Linked DNA regions of Anolis sagrei. The protein of the gene in region 2 purifies or fractionates together with the protein of the main gene of each other region. This does not show direct contact. Links are inferred from orthologs where the notes say so. Each region holds a gene or a part of one and is shown on either strand. Other genes may lie near its edges. The genes, in order: EIF3A, EIF4B and USP11.

The links.
Region 1: the proteins of EIF4B (region 2) and EIF3A purify together in Homo sapiens (co-immunoprecipitation; 3 studies listed by BioGRID and IntAct, with this or other methods). This does not show direct contact. The link is inferred for Anolis sagrei from reciprocal best matches to the Homo sapiens genes EIF4B and EIF3A.
Region 3: the proteins of EIF4B (region 2) and USP11 purify together in Homo sapiens (affinity purification with western blotting; 3 studies listed by BioGRID, with this or other methods). This does not show direct contact. The link is inferred for Anolis sagrei from reciprocal best matches to the Homo sapiens genes EIF4B and USP11.

What each region holds. Positions count from the first base shown.
Region 1 is NC_090023.1:202,542,304-202,546,054, reverse strand, and holds the start of EIF3A (eukaryotic translation initiation factor 3 subunit A), read right to left. Parts: upstream 2,466-3,751; 5' UTR 2,359-2,465; coding exon 2,310-2,358; intron 1-2,309. UniProt on the Homo sapiens protein: RNA-binding component of the eukaryotic translation initiation factor 3 (eIF-3) complex, which is required for several steps in the initiation of protein synthesis.
Region 2 is NC_090022.1:183,596,812-183,600,562, reverse strand, and holds the start of EIF4B (eukaryotic translation initiation factor 4B), read right to left. Parts: upstream 2,653-3,751; 5' UTR 2,581-2,652; coding exon 2,568-2,580; intron 1-2,567. UniProt on the Homo sapiens protein: Required for the binding of mRNA to ribosomes. Functions in close association with EIF4-F and EIF4-A. Binds near the 5'-terminal cap of mRNA in presence of EIF-4F and ATP.
Region 3 is NC_090022.1:193,156,443-193,160,193, forward strand, and holds the start of USP11 (ubiquitin carboxyl-terminal hydrolase 11), read right to left. Parts: upstream 2,531-3,751; 5' UTR 2,450-2,530; coding exon 2,340-2,449; intron 1-2,339.

The DNA.
Region 1 (3,751 bases), on a different chromosome or scaffold from region 2:
ACAGCACTACGTTATAGTGACTCAGTATAGCCTGCTTCATCCAAATGTGTTCAAACATATTGAGCATGAAGCTTTTTATACTCCTGGCAGCCCTAGCACACAGAACTGGTTTTGCCAGCAATTTTCTTTATTAAACGAAGTTTAAAAGTGTGTGTTTATTTCCTCCCGATGAGTTGTGCTACTGGAATTGTCAGTTCACCACATAAAAGACTCAAAACAGGGGAAAGGGGGCAACAAAAGATACCATCTCTGAACTTAATGGATATCATGAAATAATGCTACATTTATTATAGTAACTTTGATAAAGATGACCTGTGACTAATTCTACTACTCTGTACAAGTTTTGCACATCTGAGTCCAATGGCTGACTTTCAGTGGAAACCAAGGACAGTTCCTGATTCATTATTTGTTTTATGTGCTTAGGAGTGCATATGCTATAAACGTTAAAATGCGTATAAACGCAATTTACTTGTGCTTAAGAACAGCCAACCCCACACTTTTCAGTCTTTAAATGCCTTGTCTGAATTCAAATATTTTAAAATGGAAAAGGAATTAAGCAATATTTCTGTCCTTGGTATCTTCCATACCACAACTGCACAAGTTGTTATATACAATATTCAAAAAGGAAGGACACTTCTACAATGATTCATTTCAACAAAAAATTAAGCGAGGAGATATAAATGTTTTGTAAGGTGACCAGAATCTCAGTATGTGGAAAGTAAAGGTAAAAGGTAAAGGTTTCCCCTTGACATTAAGTCTAGTCATGTCCAACTCTGGAGGCTGGTAATTGTCTCCATTTTTAAGTCAAAGAACCGGCATTGTCCATAGACGCCTCCAAAGTCATGTGTCTGTCATGACTGCATGGAGCACCGTTGTCTTCCTGCCGAAGCAGTACCTACGGATCTACTCACATCTGCATGTTTTCAAATGGCTAGGTCAGCAGAAGTTGGGGCTTACAGTGGGAGCTCATCCTGCTCCCCAGATTCAAACCACCAACCTTCCATTCAGCAAGTTCAGCAGCTCAGCGGTTTAACCCACTGCACCACCAGCGGCTCAAAACATACAACAAAGGTTTTTGCTTTGTCATGAAGTCCATGAGGAGCAAAAAGGGCATTTTTGCTTCACTGTGTAAATTACTGTCAATGTAACAACACACAAAGGGTGCAAGAAAAGAAGGTTTTATTATCTCCATTGTTAGAGCAAATTACAAATTGAGCATCATCTTATCCACAATTCCGAAATGCTCCAAATACTGAAACTGTCCATATGGGTGGGCTGAGAAAGTGACACATTTGTTTTCTGGTGGCTGAATGTATACAAAAGTATTTCACATACAGTGTATAAAATGACCCTCCAGTTATATGTGTCAAGTCCATATGAGGCAAATGAATTTTGTATGTAGACTTGAGTCCCAACACCAGATTATTTGATGTCTTGTGTAAAAAATTACCTTTAAGATATATGTATAAAGTGCATATGGAATATAAATGTATTTTGTATTTAGACTTGATTCCCATTGTCAGATTATGTCATATATTGTGTATAAAATTACCTTCAGGCTATATGGATAAAGTGCTTGTGAAACATAAAGGAATTTTGTATTTAGACTCGGGTCCCAACACCAGATTATTTGACATCTTGTGTATATAATTACCTTTAAGACATCTGTATAAAGCGCATACATAACATAAATGCATTTTGTATTTTGACTTGATTTCCATCACTAGATTATTTCATATATTGTTTATAAAATTACTTTCAAGACATATGTATAAAGTGCATTTGAAACAAATGCATTTTTTATTTAAACTTGGGTCCCATCGCCAGATTATGTCACATATTGTGTATAAAATTACCTTCAGGCTGAATGTATAAAGTGCATGTGAAACATAAATGAATTTTGTATTTAGACTTGGGTTCCATCTCATTATGTATATGCAAATATTCCATAATCGGGGGGGGGGGGGGTGTCGAAATGTGGTACACTTCTAATCCCAAGTATTTCGGGAAAGGGACACTCAACGTGTATTCCTCTCACTGGCAGTCCTCCCCTCCACAGCCTTCCCGAAGGCATCAGTCGGGGAAAGCAGGGAAGAAACACGAGGGCAAGCAACCCTGAAAGGCCGGCGGACATGCGAGGAACTGGCCAGGGCAACGAGGGAGAGCGCTTCCTCCCTCCTTCCACACGCGCCTAGGCCTCGGCCTCCATTACGGGCCTCACGAAGCCTAGCCAGGCGGGGCACGGGGCAGGAAAGGAGATGGCGGCGCCCTCCGCCAGACCCGAAGCGGCCTAGGAGCCTCGCACTCACCGTTCGCCCGCTTCAGGGCGTTCTCGGGCCGCTGGAAGTAGACCGGCATGATGGCGGCCTGTGCTTCTCCTCCTCCTCACGCGGCAAGAAGCCTCAAGGAGCGCACCGCCAAGCAGCAAGCGAGGCCGGAAAGAGACGGCGTCACGTGACCCCGCCGCGCGCACGGACGTGTCCGGAAGCGAACGCGGCTCCCTGCGCGAGAGAAGGGGGGGGGGGGGAGAGAGAGAGAGAGAGAGAGAGAGAGAGAGAGAGAGAGAGAAAGATGAAGGCAAGTTAGAAGTACGCATGCGTCGGAAAGAACTCTGCGAAGTGGAGCAATAGAGGGTTGCCCTTTTCTCTTGAAATGAGCACTGATGTCGCTTTGGCCCCATCAGTCGTGGGTTCGAGGCCAGCTCTCGTCTTGTTTGTAGTCAGTCTTGTTTAATCGGATGCAGGCCCTATTTTGGTGTAGGATCTGATGAAATATAATACAATGTAATACTAATGTGATAATGTAATGCAATATAATGTTGTTGTTCATTCGTTCAGTCGTCTCCGACTCTTCGTGACCTCATGGACCAGCCCACGCCAGAGCTCCCTGTCGACCATTACCACCCCCAGCTCCCTCAAGGTCAGTCCAGTCACTTCAAGGATGCCATCCATCCATCTTGCCCTTGGTCGGCCCCTCTTCCTTTTGCCTTCCACTTTCCCCAGCATCATTGTCTTCTCTAGGCTTTCCTGTCTCCTCATGATGTGGCCAAAGTACTCAGACGGGATCAAAGTACTGAGACGGGATCCCAGCTGAACTGTTTAAAATCTTAAAAGATGATGCTGTCAAGGTGATGCATGCCATTTGCCAGCAAATATGGAAAACACAAGAATGGCCATCAGACTGGAAAAAATCAACTTATATCCCCATACCAAAAAAGGGAAATGCGAAAGACTGCTCCAACTTCCGTACAGTGGCCCTTATTTCTCATGCCAGTAAGGTAATGCTCAAGATCCTGCAAGGAAGACTCCAGCAATACATGGAGCGAGAGTTGCCAGATGTTCAAGCTGGGTTTAGAAAAGGCAGAGGAACGAGAGACCAGATTGCCAATATCCGCTGGATAATGGAGAAAGGCAGGGAGTTTCAGAAAAACATCTACTTCTGCTTCATTGACTATTCTAAAGCCTTTGACTGTGTGGATCATAATAAATTGTGGCAAGTTCTTGGTGGGATGGGCATACCAAGCCACCTTGTCTCTCTCCTGAGGAATCTGTACAAGGACCAAGTAGCAACAGTAAGAACTGACCACGGAACAACAGACTGGTTCAAGATTGGGAAAGGCGTACGGCAAGGCTGCATACTCTCACCCAACCTTTTAAACTTGTATGCAGAACACATCATGCGATGTGCGGGGCTGGATGAATGCAAAGCTGGGGTGAAAATTGCTGGAAGAAACATTAACAACCTCAGATAT
Region 2 (3,751 bases):
CCCAATATCGGAGGATATCAAGGAAGAAAATACCACATTATCTGAGTGTGGACTCAAATAACCCAGTTCAAAACAGATATTGTGGGATTTTCTGCCTTGATATTCTGGGATATAGGTCTGTGTGGAAGGGCCCTGAGTTCCCATTGCCAGATAATCTGGAATAAACAGAAAAACTGGAATCAGATCCTGGGATATTGAGCCTATCTGGAAGGGCCCTCAAACTGCGGCTCTCCAGCTGTTTGGACCTCCACTTCCCAGATGCCCTTGTCAGCTTATTCAATTGTCAGGAATTCTTGAGAGCTGGAAGCCCAAAGAGCTTGAGGGCTGCAGTTTGTGGATGCATGCTGCTGATGCACCCTAAGGCCCCTTCCACATAGCTGTCTAATTTCTGACATTATCTGCTTTGAACTGAATTATATGGCAGTGAGGACTTAGAAAACCCAGTTCAAAACAGATATTATGGGATTTTCTGCTTTGATATTCTGGGTTTTATGGCTGTGTGGAAGGGTCCTAAGAAAAAAGATGGGATGAACCTAAGACACCTATTAAGACTCACAACAAAAACCTAGATCTCCCTCTCTCCCTGTAATATAGGTAAAGGTTTTCCATGAAGTCCAGTCGTGTCCGACTCTGGGAGGTGGTGCTATTCTCTATTTCTAAGCCAAAGAGCCGGCATTGTCCGGAGACACCTCCAAGGTCATGTGGCCGGCATGACTGCATGGAGAGCCGTTACCTTCCCGCCGGAGCGGTACCTACTGATCTACTCACATTTGCATGTTTTCAAACTGCTAGGTTGACAGAAACTGGGGCTGAAAGCGGAAGCTCATGCCACTCCCCGGATTCGAACCTGCAACCTTTTAGTCAACAAGCTCAGCAGCTCAGCGGTTTAACCCACTGCGCCACAGGGGTCTCCAACCTATTTCCTGTAACATATTTCCTCGCATTATATAGAAGATGCCAAACCTCACCACTCTTTCCCATCCTAATCAAAGAAGCCTGTCTTGGGGCACTTCTCTCTGGGCCTTTCCACACAGCCCTATATCCCAAAATATCAAGGCAGAAAATCCCACATTATCCGAGTGTGGACTCAGATAACCCAGTTCAAAGCACATACTGTGGTATTTTCTGCCTTGATATTCCGGGTTATGTGGCTAAGTGGAAGGGTCTTAAGTCAACCAACAGTATTTTGGTGAACTCCCCTTTAGTGACCTATGTATCACTATGTTTAGTGACCCATAGGTCTAGTGACATATGTATAAATATGTGAGAGGAAGCCACAGGGAGGAGGGAGCAAGCTTGTTTTCTGCTTCCTTGGAGACTAGGACGAGAAACAATGGCTTCAAACTACAAGAGAGGAGATTCCATCTGAACATGAGGAAGAACTTCCTGACTGTGAGTGCCGTTCAGCAGTGGAACTCTCTGCCCCGGAGTGTGGTGGAGGCTCCTTCTTTGGAAGCTTTTAAACAGAGGCTGGATGGCCATCTGTCAGGGGTGATTTGAATGCAATATTCCTGCTTCTTGGCAGAATGGGGTTGGACTGGATGGCCCATGAGGTCTCTTCCAACTCTTTGATTCTATGATTCTATGAATAAAAATGGCTTGGCTATTAATATGTGTAAATACATTTATAGCTTTATATTGACTTTCTCCATTACAACAAGAAGCCACTTCCACTACAATCTGAGCGTCAGGAATGTGCATAAGGGAGAAGTTTCCACTGATTATTATTTTTTAAATGAGGGAAGTAACCTTGTAAGAACCCTTTCACACAGCCCTACACATCAAGGAAGGAAATCCCACAATATCTGCTTTGAACTGGGTTATCTTAGTTCATACTCAGATATTGTGGGATTTTCTGCCTTGATATTCTGGACTGTGTGGAAGGGTCCCTTGCAAGAGTACTTTGCACTGACACCTGAGCAAACTTGGTTTCAACTGGAAGATTCAGGCCTGTAATTCTATGACCTCACAGTCTAGGCGAGAGATGACCCAAACATCAAATGGGGAAAGGGAAGAGAAAAGGTGGTGGGGGGAAAAAAATAAAGCACCAGGAGGGACGTGGACCCACCTCACGCCCGTCTGGGAGGCGGGGCGTAGGCTCCCACGCGACGTGTCCCACCCACGCCCCGCCCCTAACGCCAGACTGTGGGGAGTCAGCAAAGAGCTGGGCCCACGTGGGTGCCGCCCAGGTCCTTCCCTTCCCCCTCCCCACCTCGCCCGCGCCCTGCCGCGCGCCCTCGCGCTTGCGCACTGGCGCGCGGCCGAAGGTTCCATCAGCCCGCTCCCCTGCCGCCCCTCCCCCACTCCCTCATCCCAGTCCAAGGCCCTCGCCTCGCGCGCTGTCTCTCTCTCTCTCTCTCTCTCTCTGGGAGCGCGCGCCGCAGCGAGGGCAGCCAAGGCCGCGCCGGTGCGATTGGAGCCACACCAGTGGACCCAGGCTCCAAGGTGGCCGCCGAAGCGAAGCCGCCTGCCCTCCCTTGAGGCGCCCCGTTTCCCTCCCAGCGTCGTAAAAGGGTCAGACCGGCCGCTCGAGCCGCAGGCCCATGCGCCACCGAGACACCACTCACCTGAGGCCGCCATGTTGGGAAGAGGGAGAGAAGGCAAAAGGCCCGGATGCAGCTGTCACGTGACTATAGCGAAAGAGGCACCTCCTCTTCTCCTCCTCCTCAGGGGGGCGGATGCGTCAATAACAAAAAAAAAGGGCGCGGGGTGGGAGGGGAAGCAAACTGGGCGGGTTGGTTGCTTGATTCTGCGGTTTGCAGACGGCAAGGAGGGGATAGAACGTAAGCGGGCGGGCAGAGAAGCGGCAGAGGAACTGGAGGGAGGGTTTCGAAAGGCGAATCCAGACAGAAGGAGTTGGGAGGAGAAAGAGGCGTCGTGCTAAGGCCCAGTCTCCCTGTGAAACGTCATGGGTGACCTTGAGCCTTTTAGGCTCCTTCCACGCAGCTTAATAAAACCCCACATGTTCTGCTTTGAACTGGAATATATGGCTGTGTGGACTCAGATAACCCTTTGGTCACCTCTAGATGTGCCAGCAGGACTGAAGACCGACAGGTCGCAGGTTCGAATCCGGGGAGAGGCGGATGAGGTCCCTCTATCAGCTCCAGCTCCTCATACGGGGACATGAGAGAAGCCTCCCACAAGGATGATAACAACATTATTATTATTATTATTATTATTACTTTATTTGTACCCCGCTAGCATCTCCCAAGGGACTCGATGCGGCTTACAACAGGCCGAAGCCACAGAACAACAATACAGCATAACAATACAAAGCAAATTAAAACAGTTAAGCAAGTAAACAAAACAGTAACAATACATCAGACAATTACTAAAACTGGGCCGGCCAGAGTAGTGGGTACAGGATTAAAAGTGCTGAAAGCTCAAATCATCCGGGCGTCCCCTGGGCAACGTCCTTGCAGACGGCCAATTCTCTCACACCAGAAGCAACTTGCAGTTTCTCAAGTCGCTCCTGACCAGGCCTGTAGCGAGGGGGTGGTTTTAGGGGTTCAACCCCCCCCCCCCCGAAATGTTTCAGATTTTTTAAAAGACCTGGTTTACTCATGAATTTTAACTGGTTAACCAAATCCCCATGCTAAGTCTATGAGATGCAAAAAATTAAGAGTCTCTCCAGAACTGTAAGCACTATCTCAAGCAAATATTGGCAATTTATTTACACTGTCATTACTTGCAGCAATAGCCGATGTATTGTAGCAACCAAGTTGTGTGTGTGTGTGTTGAATGCTCTCAT
Region 3 (3,751 bases), about 9.6 Mb from region 2:
GTGTAGAAGCGGGCTCAAACTGGAGGGCTGCAGATTGAGGATGCCTGGAGTAGTCCAAAACTCAAACAACAGGCCCTTCCTGACAGGCCCTATATCCCAGAATCTGACCCCAGGTTTTCTGCTTTAAACTGCATTATATGAGTCCCCACTGTCAGATAATCTGGGATAAACAGAAAACCTGGGATCAGATGCTGGGATATAGGTCCTGTCTGGGAGGGCCCATGATCTCAATGGCTCCCTATCCAAAAATAAACCCCCTCAAGTTCAACAGCTAAGCAAGAATGGCGAAGGCAGGAAGTAGACAGTTATATTGAACTCAGGAATAAAACACAGGGCCCTTCCATGCAGCCCTATATCCCAGAATATCAAGGCAGAAAATCCCACAATATCTGGTTTGAACTGGAATATAGGGCAGTGTGGACACAGGGCCCTTCCACACAGCACTATATCCCAGAATAAGGTAAAGGTAGTCCCCTGACATTAAGTCCAGTCATGTCTGACTCTGGGGTGTGGTGCTCATCCCCATTTCTAAGCCGAAGAGCCAGTGTTTTCCGTAGACACCTCCAAGGTCATGTGGCCGGCATGACTGCATGGAGCACCGTTACCTTCCCACCGGAGCGGTACCTATTGATCTACTCACATTTGCATGTTTTCGAACTGCTAGGTCGGCAGAAATATCCCAGAATATCAAGGCAGAAAACTCCACAGTATCTTATTTGAACTGGAATATAGGGCAGTGTGAACTCAGGGCCCTTCCACACAGCCCTATATCCCAGAATATCAAGGGAGAAAATCCCACAATGTCTGCTTTGAACTGGGTTATCTGAGTCCATACTAAGATACTGTGGGATTTTCTGCCTTGATATTCTGGGATCTAGGCCTGTGTGGCAGGGCCCTCACCGACTCCAACTGGGAGGACCTCTAGATCAGTGGTTCTCAACCTATGGGTCCCCAAGTGTTTTGGCCTACAACTCCCAGAAATCCCAGCAAGTTTACAAACTGTTAGGATTTCTAGGAGTTGAAGGCCAAAACATCTTGGGACCCACAGGTTGAGAACTACTGCTCTAGACAGATGAGTGAATGCAGCTTGACCCCACTCTCATGGCCATGGCTCTATGCTGTGGAATCAGGGCAATGATTCTGGGATTATTTTAATGGGTTATTTTATATTTTAACAATGGTTGTAAACCGCCTTGTGTCCTTGGAGAAAGGCAATACAGCAGTGTTTCTCAACCTGGGGGTCGGGACCCCCAGAGGGATCATGAGGGGGTGTCAGAGGGGTTGCCAAAGACCATCAGAAAACATTATTTTCTGTTCATCATGGGGGTTCTGTGTGGGATGTTTGGTCCTATTGTATTATTGGTGGGGTTCTGAATGCTCTTTGATTGTAGGTGAACTATAAATCCCAGCAACTACAACTCCCAAATGTCAAGGCCTATTTTCCCCAAACCCCACCACTGTTTGCATTTGGGCATATGTGTGCCAAGTTTGGTTCAATTCCATCAGAATGCTCTTTGATTGTAGGTGAACTATAAATCCCAGCAACTACAACTCCCATATGACAAAATTACCTCCCCTCTCCTAATCCCACAAGTATTCAAATTTGGGTGTATCAAGTATTTGTGCCAAATTTGGTCCACTGAATGAAAATACATCCCGCATATTAGATATTTACATTATTTTTCATAACAGTAGCAACAGTAGCAGTCATGAAATGTTATGGTTGAGGGTCACCACAACATGAGGAACTGTATTAAGGGGTCATGGCATTAGGAAGTTTGAGAAACACTGCAATACAGAAATATCCCATCATTACATTATGTGGTGAGGTTTTCTGTCTCCTTTGCAGAGAAAGCGAGAGATCTTGTGAAATTACAACTCCAGAGAGTCCAAGGCATTGAGCTAAGGCAGTGAAAGTGGGCTCAAACTGCATTAGGTAGAGTGGAGACTAGGCAAGGGCAAGCATTGGCCCTGCAGGTGTTTTGGACTACAACTCCCACAATTCCTAACAGCCTCAGGCCCTTTCCTTTTCCCTCTCAGCCGCTTAAGCGGCTGAGAGGGAAAAGGAAGGGGCCTGAGGCTGTTAGGAATTGTGGGAGTTATAGTCCAAAACACCTGCAGGGCCAAAGCTTGCCCATGCCTTGTTGCTTGCTGCCCAGATGCATTCCCAGTGTTTCCTCTTTCCAAAGGAGGAGGCAATTGTCCTGAATGCCCAGGGTCATTGTTCCAGCGCTCGGATGTTGCCTTCCACTGCCATGGCCCTGCTGGGAGGCGCAGTCTGCTCAGAGGACACTCCGGGAAAGGCCTTGCTCCCTTCCTCAGCCTCGCTCCCCGCTTACCACTTCTCCCCGGCTCGGAGGGGCCGCTCCAGGCCCGGCTGGGTGGGGCCTTCCCCCTCGACCTGCCGCCTCTGGGCCTCCAGACCCGGCAGCCCCCGCTCGGCCGCCATCGCCCACCATCCAGCCCGGAAGCCAGCAACTGAGGGCGCCTTCTTTCCCAAGCCGCGACTCCCGGCTCCTCGGGGCCCCGCCCACCGGCTTCCGCCCGGCCGTGATAGGTGTGGCAACTCCGGGCGGAAGAGGCCGACGCCGCCATGTTGGGTAGGGCTATCCCCGCCCACGGGCGCCATCTTGGTTGGCCAATGAAACTAAACCTAAATCAAGAGGTTATCTTAAACATTCTTAAACCCTGAAAAGAAAATTTAAAAAAGCTGGGAACTGGTTGAAATAGGAATTACAAAACGATGTCACCCTGTATTTTGGGTAACTTCTGTTCCCTCAGCTTTGGCACCTGGCAGGGAAGATACTTCAGGTCTTTTTCCGCCATCTTTAATAAGGGCGCATCGCTAGACAGGCTTGTTGAAGTTAATTATCAGGCCTTTATCTGCCATCTTTAGTAAGGGCACATAGCCAGACAGGCTTGATGAAGTAAACCATCTACAACAGCAAAACAACAGAGGGGAAACAAACAGGCACATAAAATCACTCTCAACAAGAGATTTCCCCCAGGCGCTTCCAGGCCATTGAATGCAAATCAAGGTGATCAGCTGAAACATTCACAGCTAGCCCCAGCAGACAGGGGTCCTTTGTCTCACCCTGGTCATTCCACAGATATATAAACCCATGTTTCCTACTTCCAACAGACCTCACTACCTCTGAGGATGCTTGCCATAGATGCAGGCGAAACGTCAGGAGAAAAATTGCCTCCAGAACATGGCCATATAGCCCGGAAAAACCTACAACAACCCATCTAAGGAAGGCTTTCGGGACTTTATCCGCCATCTTTAGGAAGGGCGCTTAACCAGACAGGCTTGGTGAAGTGAATTATCTAAGGTAGTGGTTTTCAACCTGTGGGGAACACCTGGGGACCTACAGGTTGACAACCATTGATCTAAGGGAGGCTTTGGGCCTTTATCCTCCATCTTTAGTAAGGGCGCATAAGCCAGACATGCTTAGTGAAGTTAATTATCTAAGGAAAGCTCCAGGCCTTCATTCACCATCTTTAGTAAGGGCACACAGCCAGACAGGCTTGGTGAAGTAAGTTATCTAAGGGAGGCTTCAGCCCTTCATCTGCCATCTTTAGTAAGGGCACATAGCCATACTGGCTTGTTGAAGTCAATTATCTAAAGAACCTGAGCCCTGCTACATTCGCAATGGAGGACGTTCTTATAGTAACACCAGAGGCACTCCAAGTGGCCAGCTACTAGTCAAAGGACATTTAATCAACTACCATGCTTGCAAACTTAATAATA